Macaca fascicularis: one gene and its partner. The protein of the gene in region 1 interacts with the protein of each later gene in a pairwise test. Links are inferred from orthologs where the notes say so. Each region holds a gene or a part of one and is shown in the gene's direction. Other genes may lie near its edges.

Region 1 (10,058 bases):
GGATATGCTGAAAACAGACTCCCTGACAGCTGTGCTAGCGCCAGAAAAGGACACAGCAATGGATGTGTGGTGTGGCCCTATCCTCAGAGCACTCTGTCAGGCAGGAGTCACACACTTGGGATACTCATTTTTTTAGGTACCGTTGCTCTATTAATATTCAAACAAACCTTTCACCTTGTACTCCCACTTCTGATAATTGACCCTAATGAAATAATCTAAAATATGACAAGCCTATGGAGCCTTCCTTCAGATGATCTTACTACCATTTTTCTTACCGGTTAAAAATTGCATCTTAAATGTATAACTCAGTGAATGACAAATCAATGAATGACATGTGTCTGATGGAATGTTATACAGCTGTTAAACACCATAGTTTAACACCACCTGGTGCAGTGGCTCACGCTTGTAATCCCAGCACTTTGGAAGGCTGAGAAAGGCAAATCACTTGAGGTCAGGAGTTCGAGACCAGCCTGGCCAATGTGGTGAAACCCCGTCTCTACTGAAAATGCAAAAATTAGCCAGGCGTGGTGGCACACACCTGTAATTTCAGCTACTCAGGAAGCTGAGGCAGGAGAATCGCTTGAACCCGGGAGGTGGGGGTTGCAGTGAGCCAAGAGTATGCCAATGCACTCCAGCTCGGGCAACAGATAAAGACTGTCTCAAAAAAAAAAAAAAAAAAAAAAAAGTCAATGTTAAAGAAAAGCTAATATTGGCGGGGATGTAGTGAGACTGACATCCTGACAGACACAAGCAGGACTCGGGATCAGTGTCGCCTTTCTGTAAAGCACTTTTGCAGTATAAATCAGGAGCCCTTGAAAGTTCAAAAGCTCTATTTTTGTAGTCCTTGTGCTAGATATCTTTCCCTAGATGGTTAAAAAGAAAAAAAATGGGGAACATTTTTTAAAAACAGGATTATTTATAATAATTAAAATCACTGGGCAGGGTGGCTCATGCCTGTAATCCCAGCACTTTGGAAGGCTGAGGCAGGCAAATCACTTAAGGTCAGGAGTTTGAGACCAGCCTGGCCAACATACTGAAACCCCATCTCTACTAAAAATACAAAAATTAGCTGGTCGTGGTTGTGTACACCTGTAGTCCCAGCTACTTGGGGACTGAGGCAGGAGAATTGCTTGAACCTGGGAGGCAGAGATTGCAATGAGCTAATGCCACTGCACTCCAGCCTGCATGACAGAGTGAGACTCCGTCTCAATAAATAAACAAACAAAAATTAGCTGGGCATGGTTGTGGGTGCCTGTAATCCCAGCCACTTGGGAGGCTGAGGCATGAGAATCGCTTGAGCCTGGGAGGCAGAGGTTGCAGTGAGCCAGGATCACATTGCTGCACTCCAGCCTGGGTGACAGACTGAGACTCTGTCTCAAAAATAATAATAATCACAGACAATTGATGTCCAGTGATGTGGAAATGGTTAAATGAATGATAGTACATCCATTCTAGATATTAAGATATAACGCAGCCATAAATGTCTGACCAAAAAAAGACAGGGTCTCACTCTGTTGTCCAGACTGGAGTACAGTGGATCACAGCCCACTGCAGCCTCAAACTCCTGGACTCAAGCAGTCCTGCCTTAACCTTCCTAGCAAGGCAATGTCATATTTTTTTCATAACATAGATTGCTTAAGAAACAGTGTGACGTAGGATAGGCGTGGTGGCTCATGCCTGTAATTCCAAGTACTTTGGGAGGCTAAGGCAGGAGGATCACTTGAGGCCAGGAATTTGAGACCTCATTTACACCAAAAAAAAAAAAAGAAGAAGAAGCAGGTGTGGCGTGTGCCTGTAGTCCTAGCTACTTGGAAGGCTAGGGCAGGAAGATTCCTCGTGTCTGGGAGCTTGAGTTTGCAGTGAACTATGATCATACCACTGCAATCCAGCCTGAGATCCTATCTCTGGGGAAAAAAAAAGAAAAAAGAAAAGAAAAAAGAATGTGAAGAAAAAAAGAACCAGTAACAAAAATTAAAAAGCAAATTCAGTAGTACATACTTTTAGCAGCCAGGTACTCTTCAGGTGCTTTGCATACTAATCGTCACAACAAACTTGTGAGATAGGCCCTATTTATTGTCTGTTTTATAGATGAGGAAAATGGAGCAGGAGCACAGCTATCTGAGGCTGCACAGCTCATTGGAGCCATTTATGTGATTGGAACCCAGCACTTTGGCTTCAGAGTCCTTGTTCCTGACCATAACACTCTAGCAGAGCTGGTCAGGATTCGGAGCACCTGAAAGCATGATCCAATTTTAGTTATCTCAAGATTGTTTCTTTTTCAAGTATATGCAAAAAAGGCAATTGTGCTAGGGTATTGAGAGTGGTCTTCTCTGGTTTACAAAATTATGGGTACCTATTACTTTTATAAGAGAAAAAATATAAAGGATTTTAAAGCGTGGACTAGAAAAGAGTAAGAAAGTAAACTGAAAAATAAAAGTGTGATTGTATTGAGATTGTTTTTTCTTATTTTAAAAAATATTTTCTGGCTGGGGGTGGTGGCTCACGCCTATAATCCCAGCACTTTGGGAGGCCGAGGTGGACAAATCACGAGGTCAGGAGATCGAGACCATCCTGGCTAACATGGTGAAACCCCATTTCTACTAAAAATACAAAAAATTAGCCAGGAGTGGTGACGAGCGCCTGCAGTCCCAGCTACTCGGGAGGCTGAGGCAGGAGAATGACATGAACCCGGGAGGCCACTGCACTCCAGCCTGGGCGACAGAGCAGGACTCTGTCTCTCTCTCTCTCTCTCTCTCTCTCTCTCTATATATATATATATGTAAAAATTTTTTTTCTATTATGTCAGTACATTCACTCTTAAAAGAAAACTTTTAAATAAATTAGTGATTACAAACCAGCCATCCTAGTAATTCTGGAAGCTGATGTTTGTGTTGATTTTCTTTTTTCCCCTGCTTGGATCAGGGTGTCACTCTGTCACCCTGCCGGAGTGCAGTGGCGCAATCACAGCTCACTGCAGCCTCAACTTCCCGGGCTAGGGTGATCCTCCCACCTCAGCCTCCTGGGTAGCTGGAACTACAGGCTTGTGCCACCATGCCCAGCTAATTTTTGTATTTTTTGTAGAGACGAGTTTGCCATGTTGCTCAGGCTGGTCTCAAACTCCTGGGCTCAAGCGATCTGCCCACCTTAGCCTCCCAAAGTGCTGGGATTATAGGCATGAGCCACCTCGTCAGGCCCTCATGTCAGTTTTTTACAAGAGATGGGGATGCTGCTGGGCTTTGATCCCTATGTATGTGCAAGCAAGGAAAGCTCAGAGACCCAGGAGGGCAGGAGGAAAACACTAGCCATAGTTCTCTCTGGAGGGCAGGTTTTACACAATTACTCTTAGCTCTTCAGTTTTCAGGTTTCTCGCCTATTTTCTACATTAGACATTTGTATAATATTTGAAGCATACGAAGTGCGCTTGAGTTACTTTTGTAAGGAAAAAAAGTATTAAGAAACATTGCTTTAACGTTTTCTACATTTTCTCAAAAGTTCTAGGCTCAGAAACCTTATTGCTCTTGTACTAGTTTCTTTTCTCTCTGCCTCCACAGGAAGGAAGAGGGAATGGTTTAAAATAGAAGATGCCATAAAAGTGCTGCAGTATCACAAACCCGTGCAGGCATCATATTTTGAAACATTGAGGCAAGGCTACTCAGCCAACAATGGCACCCCAGTCGTGGCCACCACATACTCGGTTTCTGCTCAGAGCTCGATGTCAGGCATCAGATGACTGAAGACTTCCTGTAAGAGAAATGGAAATTGGAAACTAGACTGAAATGCAAATCTTCCCTCTCACCCTGGCTCTTTCCACTTCTCCTCACAGGCCTCTTCTTTCAAATAAGGCATGGTGGGCAGCAAAGAAAGGGTGTATTGATAATGTTGCTGTTTGGTGTTAACTGATGGGGCTTTTTCTTCTCTTTTTATTGTGGGGTGGGGGTTGGGTGTGTAATTTGTAAGTACTTTTGTGCATGATCTGTCCCTCCCTCTTCCTACCCCTGCAGTCCTCTGAAGAGAGGCCAACAGCCTTCCCCTGCCTTGGATTCTGAAGTGTTCCTGTTTGTCTTATCCTAGCCCTGGCCAGACGTTTTCTTTGATTTTTAATTTTTTTTTATTAAAAGATACCAGTATAAGATGAAATCTTTCAAGAATTTGTCCTATAATATGCTGTACAGTTCAGTAGAGTGGTCACTTCCACTGCAGGATACATTTATCTACACATTATATATCGGACATATAATATGTAAATAAATGACTTGTAGAAAGAGAAATTTGTTTAATTTTTCAAGATTTTTTTCTCTTTTAATTTGGGCATTTCTGGAATTGAGAGCCTCACAATTAATATACCTTTTCGTTTTTGATGCTAGTGGCTGGGCAGGTTGCCCTGTCCTCTCTCTATTTCCCAGTCGTTGACTGTAGGTATGGGAAGTGTTTAGCTACCTTCATAGTGCTCCCAGGACTCATGGCCTTTCCTTCTTTAAGCTGTATTTCCATACCAAGAAAGAAACAGGAAGAAACCTTTATTTTATTATTATTTTTTTAACCAAGCTAGGAACAAATGTCTCAGCCCAGATCTGTAAAAACAATGATAGAAATTGAATTCTGCCCCACATGTTGACAGTAGGGTTTGAACTGGATTCTTGGGATTGCTTATCTAAAAAACTGGAGCATCAGGTACCATTTCTGTCCTGCTGGTTTGGAATCTTTTCCGTAATGCTACTTATTACCGACAACGACCTCTCTTTGTGTCCGTATATGCCTTACACCGTGCTGACCTGGATATTGTCCTTGTGCTCTGAAGCATCCAACTGTACTTTGCAGGTGCATCAATGTAGTCCCATCCCCGAACTGGGTAACCGTGTTCCTGAAAAGTACACTGGGGAAATTCACCTGCTTGCTTGTCTTTGTAATGGCACGACACTTGTGATTGCACCATGAAGCATGCTCAGAGCTATTAAACTGGTCTCCCATCTCCCACCAGGATATGAAAGGTCCATATGGGAAGCCACATAATCACTTATTACAGTGGTTACATAATACACTGGCTCACTGCAGAGTTTTGTTGTTTTTTGATACAGGTTTCGTGCTGGCTTCATTTGCCAATTGTGTTGTTTAGTTCGGAAGTAAGAGGGTCTTGAGATTGAGGGATAGGGAGGAGTACACTGACTGATCCCTGGCTTAGAACAAGAGATTATCTCTGTACCCCAGTGTCATCTCCTTAGCCAAGATGTGAAATTAAAATCGTAGTTCTCCTTATTTAAAAATTCTAATAAAGCACTCAAACTTTGAAAAACTTTTACTTTTCCCTCCTACTAAAAGAAATGTATGTACCTCATAGGCCTGTGTCATTTAGTGTTCAGCACTTTTGGGAACATCAGTTGGTGAACTTTAAATTTTGTTGTCTACTCACCAGGCATGGTGGCTCACACCTGTAATCCCAGCACTTTGGGAGGCCAAGGCAGGCGGATCATCTGAGGTCAGAGGTTTGAGACCAGCCTGGCCAACATAGTGAAACCCCTGTCTCTACTAAAAATATAAAAATTAACTGGGCGTGGTGGGCGCCTATAATCCTAGCTACTTGTGAGACTGAGGCGAGATAATCGCTTGAACCCGGGAGGCAGAGGTTGCAGTGAGCCGAGATTGCACCACTGTCGTCCTGCCTGGGCAACAAGAGTGAAACTCCATCTCAAAAAAGAAAAAAAAATTGCTGTGTACTCTTAGTTTACATTCTCTCTCCCAATCTTGAAACACAGAGCCAAAGAGCAGTTGTATTCTTGGGATACCATGATACCTCTGGGAAAGGAATTATATCCCCAAGGAGAGGTCCCATTGGAGAAGAACACCACTGTGGAACTTGAGTCTGAATGCCAACTTCCTATTCACATATCCTTCTTAAAAACGAACACACTGTTTCTTATCCTGACCTAGAGCATTCTAAAGTTCTGTTCAAATAAAGAGCAAAATAAAGTAGATTTAACCAAGTGCTAAGTGGAATTCAAGAAACACATTCTTCCAGATAAATACTACCTTTATGGTATGGATTTGAAAGTCCTTTGCAGGAAAACAGTCAATACTCTTTAAAAAAAGGAACTGCAGGGCCGGGCATAGTGGTTCACACCTGTAATCCCAGCACTTTGGGAGGCCAAGGCAGGTGGGTCGCTTGAGGACAGGAGTTTGAGACCAGCCTGGCCAACATGGCAAAACCCTGTCTCTACTCAAATACAAAAATTAGCTGGACGTGATGGTGCACGCCTGTAATCCCAGCTACTTGGGAGGCTGAGGCATGAGAATCACTTAAACCTTCCTGGGAGGCGGAGGTTGCAGTGAGTCAAGATCACGCCACTGCACTCCAGCCTAGGTGACAGATCGAGACTCTGTGTCAATAAATAAATTAGAAAATAAAACAGACCTGCAGTGCTAACAGTAATGTATACATTTGTTAATGGTCTGAGTGTGTTTTGACTGGGCTAGTGTAATAATATACTACCCTGAAAGGGCAGTTTTGATTGTTGTTGGTGTCTTTGGGTCAGGAAAGTGAACTGTGCCAACAAGTATTTTTCAGTGACATGAATGGATTCCTGTTAATGCAATTAACTGAGACACTGTGCTTATGCTTTCTTAACTGACAAAAAGAGGCTTTGTCCAACATCAGAATTGTTGAAACTGGTGCTGTTTTCTGTTGCATTGGGATTCTGATGATCGGGGATTTTCCCTCCCTGGCACTGTAAACACCATGGCCGTCTTTACTGAGAATATCATCACAGTCCTTTAGTGATACATTAGTTAGACCCATGGTTGCAATACCTTTATCTCCCCAAAGAAAAGAATCAAAAGAAAGCACAAAAACTACCCTGTTTGCAGAATATTTCATTGATATTGATTTGTCATTAATTCTACCAGTGCTGACCTCATTCAGACTTGGTAGAAACAGATTCCTATGTTTAGGGCAGATCCCTAGCCTCTTGCTCACAGTGAATTTGCATGTCCTAGATTCTGGTTATTGCTAGAGCATCCATTAAAGTCTACCAAACTCAGGACAGAAAAAGATAGCAGTGGATTTTAAAAAATTTTTAGTTTATAAATTACAATCATTGGGGAAACACTAGTAAGGTCATGTGGTCTTTTGGACCAGGATTTTCTCCTCTCTTCTGTCTCTCTCTGTGTGTATATATATATGTGTATGTGTGTGTGTGTGTGTGTGTATGTGTGTGTGTGTGTGTGTGTGTGTGTAGGAGGACAGAAGGGCTACCAGGAGGTGTCAACCATGTTAGATTTTCTGTAGCCTTCCAGAAACAGTGCAGCCCATGAAACAGGAATCTTAATTTTCCTCATTGCAAATATAACAGGATGGAACAGTTAGTGAATTGACTGTTTTGTTTTTGCAAGTGTCCACCACTCCATCCGCCCTGCATGGAGAGGGCTCTCTCACTGCTAGGTCTAGGCTGAGCCATCTGGAAGGATCAAAGGGTGTGGGAGTATCACTGCCTCTCAGGCTGCAGAAGGTCTCGAGGGTGGTGTCACAGCAGGATTTCCGCCTTCTGCATTGCGCTGCACAGCCCCATGGAACGTGAGGCACTTGAGGCCTTGCTTCTTGCAGCCTCTGGGGAGCAGAGTAGGTCACTGCCCTCTGGGAGTGTTTTGCAGTAGTTTTGTAAATGTGTTGCTACATAGTCAAGTTCCTTTGTGGCAAAGAAATATTTTGTTTTGATATTAGGAGCCAGCCCATGTATTGTCTCTTAGGCTTGCTTGCTTAGAAGAAAAAAGTCACCCTCTGTGGTTTTTAAAAGAAGAAAAAAATTCTGTGCCAATCCGTTCCTCCCCCTGCTCCTTCCCTTTTCTCTACATACAGTGCTCATTGGGGGCTCCTGCTAAACCTTCTTAACCAGAGAAGTAATAGGTACTTGTTAGACCTGAGTGTACGTTTCACATGTTATCCTTCACCTATTTCTCATTTCATCTAGTACTTTCTTAATGCCTTTGTTGGAGTCCCCATCCTCATCTTTAAAAAAAAAACAAAACAAAACAGCTGAGCCTAAGCCACATGCACATTTTTTAGTTCACAAAAAAGGATTTAATAGCCACATTGTGATTTTTGCCACAACTGTGTGATTTTAATATTCTCTAATATCAAGGGTGGATTTAGAATTAAAGGAAATACCTGGAGAAATCACAGTGGGATGAATTTTTGCTTTAAGAGAAATGAGAGTTGGCTGTAATTGATAATACAGCTTTATCCTAGTCTCATCTGCATTTCAGAAAATAACCCTCATCTTTACAAAACATAGGACACTTGTGAGACAGTTAACTCAAGCAGCTATGGGGAGGGAGGACATTATTGAACGGTGATTAAATAATGCAGATGGCCCTTCTGTTTCTTAAAGACGGTGGAAGAGGTCAGACTGCCCAGTTGAGGCGGCAGGCATTTATTCGGAGTCCTGTTGGATAGAGCCTGTCTCCTCGAGGCTGCAGAGGCTTCCAGGATGTGGAGCTGTGCATGTTAGTGACTCAGCCTTGCCTTCATCAGGGCACCCACCTAACTTGGAGCAAGTGGGAGAGGACCCCAGAGTCATCCTCTGTGCTGTTTGGTGAGTTTTGCAGCGGAGACTTCACCATCCAGGAGAGCTGTGTTTCTGTGTCACTTGGAATATCACCTAAAAATGAAACACTTGATATTTTAAGGTATTAAAACAAAAAAAAGTGAATTGGGGAGCATTGGCTGCAATCCCTAAAAGATACTGTTATCTGTGCATCAGGTTGACTTGAGATCACCACAGGTCCTGGGAGCCCAGAGAGTTTAGGCATGCTGTCCTTTGGAGGCCAGCAGCCTTTCACAAACCCTGCCTCTAAAAGGGTGGTTTCACATTGGACCATGTTTTTGCATTAGCCTCAGAAACTCTTGTCTTTAGCTGATAACCTTTGAGGGATGTGAGAAGCCTAGTTGGAGCATCTGAGAAAATGATACCTCTCACCTTCAAATTAATCAAATAGTTTGTCCTCCTAGTCCCCTTATAAATTAATAAATGGAGGACCAGGCACGGTGGTTCACGCCTGTAATCCCAGCACTTTGGGAGGCCAAGGCGGGTGGATCACGAGGTCAGGAGTTCAAGACCAGCCTGACCAGTATGGTGAAACCCCGTCTCTACTAAAAATAGCAAAATTAGCCAGGCGTGGTGACACACTCCTATAGTCCCAGCTACTCGGGAGGCTGAGGCAGGAGAATCGCTTGAACCTGGGAGGCAGATGTTGCAGTGAGCCGAGATCCCGCCACTGCACTCCAGCCTAGGCGACAGAGCAAGACTCTGTCTCAAAAAAAAAAAAAAAAAATTAATAGGAAGAGAATCCCATTTTGTGATGATTTGGGCACACTACTTGAGCTGAGGCTAGCAATCATGTGATTTTGGCTGTCTCTGACCTGAAGCTTTTGAAGTAAGAGTTATGTCTCTTCCCTGAAGCTTTGTTTACGGTGATAATTTGGTGAGTTTGAGCTTGTCTTAGAAAATAAGACTGTCCACCTGGGGAGGGGAGCTTATAGGGAACCCATGTTAACTCAGAATGCTGAAGAAAGTGCTTTTAGCCAAAAAAGTAAGATTACGGGGCCGGGCGCGGTGGCTCACGCCTGTAATCCCAGCACTTTGGGAGGCCGAGGCGGGCGGATCACAAGGTCAGGAGATCGAGACCACGGTGAAACCCCGTCTCTACTAAAAATACAAAAAATTAGCCGGGCGCGGTTGTGGGCGCCTGTAGTCCCAGCTACTCGGGAGGCTGAGGCAGGAGAATGGCGTGAACCCGGGAGGCGGAGCTTGCAATGAGCCGAGATCGCGCCACTGCACTCCACCCTGGGTGACAGAGCGAGACTCCGTCTCAAAAAAAAAAAAAAAAAAAGTAAGATTACTACCTAGAAGGTAGAAGTCATTGCTTCTGTTCCTCCAGCAGTCAGTTGTTTAATAACTCTAGGTTTCCTTTCGTTTTTATCCCCAGTTCTTACTACTAAAACTTATTTGACTTCCTATCAGGAAGCAGACAAAACGCCATTTAAAACCCTGGATAGAGGCTTTAAAGGA
Region 2 (10,931 bases), on another chromosome or scaffold:
CTGCAAGAATGCACTTTAGAACTATTTGACAATTCAAACTTTCAAAATAAAGATGTAAATGACTGGCCAATAATAACCATTTTAGGAAGGTGTTTTGAATTTTGTATGTATATATTCACTTTCTGACATTTAGATATGCCAAAAGGATTAAAATCAAAAGCACTAAGAATTACGTAGCTGTGTGATGGCCGTTCATTCAGCACGTCCTCCCAGCATCTGGCACAGTGGCCTGCATTCACCTGGCACTCATTGTTTGTGGGACAAATTGAAAGATAGCACTAAAAAATACAAGATAATATGTTAAATGGACAATGCCTTTTTTATGTGACAACCATAATTATCTACATATTAAGTATGACTTCTAGACATTTAAACAAAAAACATTGGGGACAACATAAATTAGAAAAAATACTGTCGAAACTATGGTGAAATATCCCATTGCATGGGTGAACACACATTTTTACTTGAATTTAATTTGGATTTGAGGCTGATTTTTTTTTTTTTTTTTTTTTTTGAGGTGGAGTTTCGCTCTTGTTGCCCAGGCTGGAGTGCAATGGCACGATCTTGGCTCACCGCAACCTCTGTCTCCTGGGTCCAGGCAATTCTTCTGCCTTTTGTATTAGTAGATTATTCTGCTAATTCTGTATTTTTAGTAGAGACAGGGTTTCTTCATGTTGGTCAGACTGGTCTCGAACTCCCAATCTCAGCCTCCTGCCTCGGCCTCCCAAAGTGCTGGGATTACAGATGTGAGTCACCATGCCCGACCACTTTTTTTTTTTTTTTTAACTAAAATGATAGTTTAATATTTTGTTATTCATAATAAAAGTGTGGTATTAGTCCTTGCCAAAAGCTGATTCAAAAGTTAAGGGAGAAGATAAAATGCACTAGTCACTCACAGTATAGTAGTAAACAATGTCATATATGTGTTTGTGTGTGTGTGTGTTGAGTTTTTTTTTGGGGGGGAGGGGATGGATTTTTGCTTTTACTGCCCAGGCTGGAGTGCAATGGTGTGATTTCAGCCACCACAACCTCCGCGTCCCAGGTTCAAGCAATTCTGCCTCAGCCTCCCCAGTAGCTGAGATTACAGGCATCTGCCACCAGGCCCAGTTAATTTTGTATTTTTAGTAGAGACAGGGTTTCTCCATGTTGGTCAGGCTGGTCTCAAACTCCCAACCTCAGGTGATAAGCCCTTCTCAGCTTCCCAAACTGCTGGGATTACAGGCGTGAGCCAACACACCTGGCCTATATGTGTGTTTTTAGAATGCTTCAGAACACTAAACGTTAAATTGCTATTTTAGTAGATACAGAATTTATTTTTTGATTTTCTTGTTTTTTAATTTTTTTTCAGAAACAGGGTCTTGCTCTGTTGCACAGGCTGAAATGCAGAAGTGCAATCATGACTCACTATAACCTCAAACTCCTGGACTCAAGTGATCCTTCTGCCTCAGCCCCCCAAGTAGTTGGGACCACAGGTGCTCAGCACCATGCCCAGCTAATTAAAAAATTTTTTATTTTTGTAGAGATGGGGTCTTGCTGTGTTGTCCAGGCTGGCTTTTTTCTTACTTTTTTGAGATGGGATCTCATTCTGTCACCCAGAAGGGAGTGCAATGACATGATCACAGCTCACTGTAGTCTCAGCCTCCCAGGCTCAAGCAATCCTCTCAGCCTCTTGAGTAGCTGCAACTACAGGCAAATGCCGGCACATCTGGCTAATTTTTTATTTTTGTAGAGATGGGGCCTTGCTCTGTGGCCTTGTCTAGTCTCAAACTCCTGACCTCATGCAATCCTCCCAACCTGGCCTCCCAAAGTGCTAGGATTACAGGCATGAGTCACTACCCAGCCTGCTTTTTAAATTATTATTTAACAGAGACAGCCTGGGCATGGTGGCTCACACCTGTAATCCCAGCACTACAGGATGGCTTGAGCTCAGTTCGAGACCAGCCTGAGCAACATGCTGAAATCCCATCCCTACAATTTAAAAATTAGCCATGCATGGCGGCACATACCTGTAGTCCCACCTACAGGGGAGGCTGAGGTGGGAGGATTGCCTGAGCCTGGGAGGCAGAGGTTGCAGTGAGCTGTGATGGCGCCACTGTGCTCCAGCCTGGGCAATGGAATGAGACCCTAGCTCAAAAAAAAAAAAAAAAAAAAAAAACCACAAAGTAATAGGGACTGGGTCTCACTATGTTGCCCCAGGCTGGTCTTGAACTCCTGGGCTCAAGCAATCCTCCCGCCTTGGCCTCCCCAAAGTACTTGAATTGCAGGCATGAGCCACCATGCCCTGTCCCAACCCACTTGAAAAAAAAAAAAAAAAAATTTAGCCAGACGCAGTGGTTCACGCCTGTAATCCCAGCACTTTGGGAAGCCAAGATGGGCGAATCACCTGAGGTTAGGAGTTTGAGACCAGCCTGGCCAACATGGTGAAACCCCATTTCTATTAAAAATACAAAAAATTAGCCAGGCGTGGTGGCACGCGACTGTAATCCAAGCTACTCTGGAGGCTGTGGCAGGAGAATAGCTTGAACCTGGGAGGCAGAGGTTGCAGTGAGCCGAGATCGCGCCATTGCACTCCAGCCTGGGGAACGAGCAAAACTCCGTCTCAGGAAAAAAAAAATTTTAAATGGCTTATTGCATAGTATTTTCAAAATATTAATGGGAAATTTTTACTATGATAGGAGAATATGGGGCAGTGGAATTTGTCTGAAGTAACTGTTGAATGCACTAAGTCCTTCAACAACACAAAAGGAAATGCATGAGTACTGACATTTTGCTTAGCTACTTCTCTTTAATAGCTGTGGTTAGTGCTTACTGTTTGATACCCTGTAAAAGTGCGTATACGTGGAGAAAACGATTATTTCCTCAGTGACCACAAAGTGCCACTTGCCAACCAGATCAGTTTTTTTTTGTTTGTTTGAGACGGAGTTTTGCTCTTGTTGCCCAAGCTGGAATGCAATGGCACGATCTCGGCTCACTGCAACCTCCGCCTCTCGGGTTCAAGCGATTCTCCTGCCTCAGCTTCCCTAGCAGCTGGTATTACAGGCACCCGCCACCACGCCCAGCTATTTTTTTGTTTTTTAAGTAGAGACGAGGTTTCACTATGTTGGCCAGGCTGGTCTCGAACTCCTGACCTCAGGCGATCCACCCGCCTCAGCCTCCCAAACTGCTGGAATTGCAGGCATGAGCCATCGCGCCCGGCAGATCAGTTTTTTAAGTACACTGCTGGAGGTACACAGTATTTTGGACTGACTCATTGTAGCTTTGGAAATGTTTGGATTTTTAAATAGCTTTAAGCTTTCTTGACCAAAATTCCACTATAATGGCTTCTTAGATTTGGATGAAAACTCAGTAGCTTTATTTTTAAAAAGTTTGATAGCTTTATAAAAACTTTTTTAAAAAAATTCGGGATATGAAACTATTTGTTTGTAGTTAAGATTGACCCAAATAGGACTCTAGATTGGTGGATTCCAACAGAAATGTTTCATCAGAGATGATTATTAAATAATGGGATGGACTAAATGAAGGTTCCCGAAAAAAAAAAAATCTTGAACTAACTTTCCAGTAAACTAAGCAAATTCCACGAGCAATGTAAAGGTGACCATTTTTGAAGGTAGGAATTTAAATTGGGTTCAGATAACAAATAACAGGTTGTATACAATTTACCCATAATCCCCCTTCCCCGAAGCACTAGGCGGTGAAGTTAGGCTTCTGGATTCCAACTCCACGCTCCACCGCGCGGAACTATGCAACCTTGGGTTAGTTACCAGGTCTAAGGCTTCTAGATTCCAACTCCACGCTCCACCGCGCGGTAACTACACTATCTTGGGCTAGTTATCGGCTCTAAGACTTAATTTTGCCATCTGCAAGATGGAGATAACATCCAACTCCTGCTGTGTGAGGATTACGTGAATCCTTGTAGAATGTGGCTCAGTTACTGGGATATAGTAAGCGCTCCACGGCTACTGCTATCATAATGCCGTTAGTTTGCTTGTCCTCCTACATCTACCTACATCTATCTATCTCACCCAAGGCCCAGCGCTAAGCAGCGACGTCCATGGTGGGACGCAGCCTTTACCCTCAGGGTCAGCGCCGGCTGGGAAGGCCGCGACCTAACTGGGAGATTACGAACAGTGTCACCACGGCCACAGCGCAGCTCCTGCCAAGTCAAGCAGCTCATGGAACCAACGGCGGCGAAGTCCGAATACCTACGCAACCCTATCCTAAAAGTGTTTTTAACCGTCTCAAGTCCTATAATTTAAGAAAATAAAGTGAGACCGTAACTGTTGGCGCTGAGAAACTTTCTCAACAGGAAGAACGAAGCAGGCGCAGCGCGCAGGCGTCTTCAATCGGTCCTGGGTCCGCCTCTTCCGCCCGGTGCGGGCGCCGATTGGTCCGCGTGGTCACATAAGAGACTGCGCATAGGCGCAAGAACCTCTTTCCTCAGCTGTCGCGAAGGTGCTCGGTCCTTCCGAGAAAGCTAAGGCCGCGTTGGAGTGAGGGCCTCACTTCATCCGGCGACTAGCACCGCGTCCGGCAGCGCCAGCCCCACACTTGCCCGCGCTATGGCCTCCGTCTCCGAGCTCGCCTGCATCTACTCGGCCCTCATTCTGCATGACGATGAGGTGACCGTCACGGTGAGTGCGGGCGCGGGTCGGCGGCCTGGCTGCCTGTGGGCGGCGACTCCCGCCTCTCCATGCGGTTCCGGGCTCCAGGCCGTTGGGCCCAGCACTTCCGGCCGGGGCCAGGCCGCGAAGACAGGCGGCATGGGGCGGGCGCTCCTGGGGGCTGGGGCCTCTCTCGCAGAGCGGGACCTGGGCCCCCGGGACCACGTGCGGGCCCGGGGGGCGTGGAGTGCGCTTGAGGCTGGGCTCTCCGGCTCCAAGATCCTTCGTGTAGAAAAGCTTTTCCGCAGCGCTTGGGCACCCTGACCCGCGCCTCGTCTCTCTCAGGGACACTTACTTGGAACTCTTTTGGTATAATTGCCTTGAATTCCCCGGGTCGTGGAGGATAGCGCCCCAGCTCGGCTCCACCTTCCAGGTCCTAACTTAAAAATAGCCGCGTGACTCAGGCAAGTCCCAGCCCGTGAAACAGCAGTGATGGGCTCGCCTCATTGCAGGGCGCCTGGCACACATCTCTTTTGCTTGTGATAGAATATTTGAGCTGGTTAAACATGTCCTGTACACTTTTTATTGAGTGACTTGCCTTTGACTTGCAGCGTTTTGGAGATACTACATACGCTATGTTTTGATGGATTGACGTTTTTATTTGTTGTAGGAGGATAAGATCAATGCCCTCATTAAAGCAGCCGGTGTAAATGTTGAACCTTTTTGGCCTGGCTTGTTTGCAAAGGTAAGGTGATGGTGGCAAAGTGATGTGGTAAAGCCTGCTGATTTACGAGGGCAGGTGTACATGCTGAAGTACCTCCAGCAGTGCCATAAGGCCCCACATGCCGCTGGATCTCCTAGGTGTATTTGGTTGCATTTATATCTCTAGGAGCTAAGAAGATTTCAGTTTCTCAAGTCTTATGTTTCCTTATCAGACTCTGGTTTCCCCTTTTGCTCTGAAACCATGGTCAAAAAAAAAAAAAATCTGAATCAGGTCATTGATTCCCAAAAAGGATCACCCGGGAGATAGGTACTACCCATGTTAAAGTTGCAAGCAAATTCTTGCATTAAACCTGTGGTTTAATGGACATTTGGGTTTAGCGGACTTTATTGACACAGTAGGTACTATGTGTTGGGATATAAAAGACTAATAAAGACGAGATTCCTGGTCATGGAGCTTGCACTGGCTATTTTCCATTGTACAGGTTACTTAATCTCTGGCAAGTTAAGCTGATAGCATCTAACTCCGGGGTTGTGTCCTCTAAAGAGTTTTGAAAGATTGTAAACATTGTATCTATGTCATCTTTAAGTCCTATGTTTAGAAGACTGAAAATTTGAGTTCACTGTTCAGAGGAGACATGGAATTGTGCAAAGAATATTCATTTGAGTGTTTCAGGAAGTTTGGATTATTTTTTTGCCAACATGTTATTTGTAAAAGGAGGGGAAATCAGCTACCTCAGGAGGTTCTTAACATATAGGAAAGTAATTATCAGATTCAAAGCTGAACGATTGAAAGCTGAACAGTAGTGTGTTGCCCTGTCTAACCTAAGTTTTTGCTGTTAGCAAAGAAAAGCCAGTGTCTAGGGTATTGATTCCAGGGCCTTCCACTAATAACAAAATCCCAGGATGTTCCATCTCTTATATAAATGTATTTGCATATAACCTATGCACATCCTCCTGTATACTTTGGAAGTCTACATGTTTGGTATGCATGCGTTTCCACTGTTGAAACCATGGATGTGGAACCCACTGTATATAGTGTTAGGGGTTGATCACTGTAACCTGGAAGGGGGGATACTTTTCGTTTTTGGTGCGTGAGTGCTGTGTAACAAGGACAGAACCGGGCATTTACCTATGCATGCACATGTATTGCAGGCCCTGGCCAATGTCAACATTGGGAGCCTCATCTGCAATGTAGGGGCTGGTGGACCTGCTCCAGCAGCTGGTGCTGCACCAGCAGGAGGTCCTGCCCCCTCCACTGCTGCTGCTCCAGGTAGGAAACATGGAGTTTCTAGTATTGGGAGGAGTGTAGAGATTTAAAAAATATATATAGTATTATAGGTAAAATTGCCATTAATTTTCCACAAGCAGATGATGTATGGAAATCCTAACACCTGACTGTTTTTTTTCTAGCTGAGGAGAAGAAAGTGGAAGCAAAGAAAGAAGAATCGGAGGAATCTGATGATGACATGGGCTTTGGTCTTTTTGACTAAATCTCTTTTATAACGTGTTCAATAAAAAGCTGAACTTTACTGCTGTTGGTCTTGCCCATAGCTTGGGAATGCGCTCTGCAAAAATGGTATCAGTTTTGTAATGTTGGCTTTCAACCTATTCTGCCATGACAGGCTGGATTTTCCCTGCCACCGTTGCCAGATGTGAGATTATACACAATCCTGATGCTAACAAGAAGGCACCTCATGGTACAGTGTTAAAAACTGCACTGGGGTGTCAGGAGGAAAGATCAGAGCAGATGCTTGCTTTGTCCAGGTTACCTGTATAAACTTGAGGATTATAAGGTGTGTCCCCTCCACTGGGGGCAGAGGGTAATACAGACCAGCATTAGAAAGCCTCCTGGGTAATTACCCTATACAACCCTGCCTAATAATGAACTTTGACCTATGCTGAATTGACTGCTACATCCCAAGGTTGTAAAGAAACTAAGACCTAGCTGTGTAATGTCTCACCAAATGCTTGGGTAACACTGAAGGAATGCAGAAAGTTTACTTCATAGTTTATTAAGGTCCCCAGTTACACAAAGTGGATAAAACAAGATTCAAACCTGGGTTCCAAAAGCTAAGAGCTTTTTTTGTTTGCCAATTAATAATACCATGAGGCCGGGCGCGGTGGCTCAAGCCTGTAATCCCAGCACTTTGGGAGGCCGAGACGGGCGGATCACAAGGTCAGGAGATCGAGACCATCCTGGCTAACACAGTGAAACCCCACGTCTCTACTAAAAAATACAAAAAACTAGCCGGGCACTCCAGCCTGGGTGACAGAGCGAGACTCCGTCTCAAAAAAAAAAAAAAAAAAAATACCATGAATGGAAATTTCGACTTTTCAGGCTTGGATTATATAATAAACCATGGGTATTGTGTATTCAGAGCAGCTAATGACATGCCAGGCACATGAATGAGTCTTATCCTTATCTGCATTAGCATTTAATAGATGAAGACATTCAGTGATGAAAAGCATGACTTCTAGCCGGGGCTGTCATGTCAATGTGAAAAAGACCATTTGTATAAGTTACTGCAACTACTTGGGGAAAATGGCAGTTCTACTTCAAGAGAAACTACATGTGGACATGAGGATACATGCCTGGGAATGTTCAAAGCAACACTTTGAGCAAAGACATTAAGTATATGCATCTGATAAGAGAAATATAAAAGATGGGATGGTGAACAATTTAGGATCTTGAGTAAGGTGCAGTTAACAATGGGTAGGAGTATGTAGGTGTCAGTATTAAAGAGTTTTAAGTTTTTTGAGAGGGGTTCTAGGCTGGAATGCATTGGTGCAGTCATGGCTTACTGCAGCTTCAAACTCCCAGGCTCAAATCAATCATCCCACTTCAGCCACCCCCAGGTGGCTGGGACTACAGGCATGCCACCATGCCTGGCTAATTTTTTGTAGACAAACCTCAACCTCCTGGTGTCAAGCGATCTGCACGCCTTGACCTCCCAAAGTGCTGGGATTGCAAGTATGAGCCATCATGCCTGGCTAGTTTTGTGTTTTTAATATATGGCTTGAGCATCCCTTACCCAAAAAACAAAACATCAACATGACACTCAAAGGAAATGTTCATTGGAACGTTTTGGATTTTCGGGTTAGGAATGCCCAACCTGTATATTAAAACCATAGGCCAGGCATGGTGGTTCATGCCTGTGATTCCTGCACTTTGGGAGGCTGACGCAGGAGGATCACTTAAATCCATGCCCGCCTCTAGAAGAAATTTTTTAAAAAATCAGTGCAGCGCGGTGGTATTCGCCTGTGGCTTCAGTAAGCCATGTTTGTACCATTATACTCGAGACTGGGTGACAGGGCGGGACCCTGTCTAAAATATCTAAGATCATAAAGTATATATAAAAACCTTAGGTATATGCAAATATTCCAAAGTCTGAAAAAAAATTAGAAATCTGAAACAAATGGTCCCAAGCATTTTGGATAAGGGATGCTCAGCCTGTACTAAAGGGCAGTTGTGAACTAGTGAGGATGGTGTCACGAGACAAAGATAAGTGATAGCCTATATCCACATGTTAAGTGCCTGCTTTTCCTTCACCCATTAACAGCTAACATTAGCTAGGACTGCTCGTCTGTGTGGCATCTCATTCTTCACAACAGTCCCATGACAGGATGACCCCATGTTGGGGATGGGGAAGTGGAAGCTCTCAGGTTACAAACTAGTAAGTGGGTGGGTGAACTAGATTAAAACCCCACTCTGAGTCCCTGTTCTCTTAACATCATGACCCATGCTTCTGGTCGTGTCTCCTACCTGCATCAGCTTCCTCATCTGTAATGACTGTAGGGTTCTGAAGAGGTAACAGTAGGAATTCTTTGTGCTGAGTGAACAAGTGTCAGAGGAAGGAATACTAACACTTCACCAAGCTGAAGAATGGGTTAAAGAGAATACTAACAAGATATGGGAAAAGGACAGCATCTAGAAGAGCAGACATTAAGTGGTAAGCTAGGGATATTGTAAATATCAAACTCAGCTGTCCAAACAATCCAATCAACTAAAATGTTCACTAGCAAGACTCCAATGTTAACAGTCTGTAAGTGCATGGCCCAGGCTTCTCCCCCCACTCAGACTGCATTCTCTCCCTCTCCCTTGGAGGAAGAGAAGAACCATCATCAATGGCAAATGACAGTTGCAGCAAAGCAACACCAAGAGCCAACCTCACGCTCAGCAGAGAATGCTGTCCTGCCACCTCCTCATGGTTTCCAGTGCTGTACACATTGAGAGAAACTTCTCTAGTAAGGAACTACAGAATTGATGCCTGAAATTATACTCTTGGTCTAGCTTTTTTTTTCTTTTTTTTTTTTTTCTCAATTTATTTGAGACAGGGTCTCACTGTTGCCCAGGCTGGAGTGCAGTGGCATGGTCATAGCTCACTGCAGCCTTTCTTGGGCTAAGTGATCCTCCCGCCTCAGCCTCCTGAGTGGCTGGGACTGTAGGCATGAGCCACCCTGCCTGGCATGGCCCAGCTTTTTAAGAAATCTTAATATAGCTAAAAATCTTTCTAAAGAACAATTTGAAAATCAAATTAGAAGACCCACATACATACATAGAACTACTAACTTAATTCATCCGATACTGAATGAAGTCCTCTTTGTTCCATCTGCTTTCTGGTTCTTCCGAGCCTCCTTTTTTCTTTTTCTTTTCAGAAATGGGAATATCTACTTCATATTGGGGAATGAAAGAGGTAAGTGAACATTCAATACTTGTTACTTCCCTTTTGCATACAGTACAAGGAACACGGTTGCCATCCCTAGTTCCCCAAATCTCCAGGTCTAATAGGTCCAAGCCTCATGCTCCTCAAACCGCCTACCCCCCATTCTGTTTGTTTGTTTTTTGTTTTGTTTTGTTTTGTTTGAGACAGAGTCTCACTCTGTTTTCCAGGCCTGAGTGCAGTGGCACGATCTCGGCTCACTGCAGCCTCCGCCTCCAAGCGATATTCCTGCCTCAGCTTCCTGAGTAGCTGGGATTATAGGCACGCACCACCACACCTGACTAATTTTTGTATTTTCAGTAGAGACAGGGTTTCACCATATCGGTCAGGCTGGTCTCGAACTCCTGACCTCATGATCCGCCCGCCTCAGCCTCCCAAAGTGCTAGGATTACAAGGGTGAGCCGCTGCACCCGGCCCCCCATTCTTATCAATCAGGCAGGTTTGGTTTCTCATATTTCATACTTCTGATTGTTCACCAAGCATACATGTTACTTTGCTTACATTTCCATTGCTCTCAGCATTGTGTTCACATCTCCTGTAGCCACTGGTCCATGTATCCAGGTCCATGGCTGGCCAACTCACACCCCTTGAGAAGTCTATCAGCAGGAGCCCAGATTAGGCATGAAGGGCTCTCATGTTCTGGAGAACTGTAGGAACAGACATGCTCACAGACAAACCATCTAAACAACTTCGAAAACCTGTATTGTCACGGAATGTGTTGCACAATAGAATAAGTAAAAATATCCAAAAGCTCCTGCCAATTGTTTTACTCTCTAATCCTTTTTTTTTTTTTTTTTTGCTTCTTCTCGACTGAAAATAAGGAGAGAACCACATGTGAAATTTTAAAACCACCTTTTGGAAGAGAAAAACACTCTTAATTAAAATG

What was found.
Region 2: the proteins of NUDT3 (region 1) and RPLP1 interact in a two-hybrid assay, tested with the Homo sapiens proteins (2 studies listed by BioGRID and IntAct). The link is inferred for Macaca fascicularis from reciprocal best matches to the Homo sapiens genes NUDT3 and RPLP1.

Annotation. Positions count from the first base shown.
Region 1 is NC_088378.1:137,406,944-137,417,001, forward strand, and holds the end of NUDT3 (diphosphoinositol polyphosphate phosphohydrolase 1), read left to right. Parts: intron 1-3,551; coding exon 3,552-3,730; 3' UTR 3,731-5,538; downstream 5,539-10,058. UniProt on the Homo sapiens protein: Cleaves a beta-phosphate from the diphosphate groups in PP-InsP5 (diphosphoinositol pentakisphosphate) and [PP]2-InsP4 (bisdiphosphoinositol tetrakisphosphate), suggesting that it may play a role in signal transduction.
Region 2 is NC_088381.1:46,245,354-46,256,284, forward strand, and holds RPLP1 (large ribosomal subunit protein P1), read left to right. Parts: upstream 1-4,429; 5' UTR 4,430-4,559; coding exon 4,560-4,631; intron 4,632-5,271; coding exon 5,272-5,346; intron 5,347-6,476; coding exon 6,477-6,594; intron 6,595-6,734; coding exon 6,735-6,814; 3' UTR 6,815-6,853; downstream 6,854-10,931. UniProt on the Homo sapiens protein: Plays an important role in the elongation step of protein synthesis.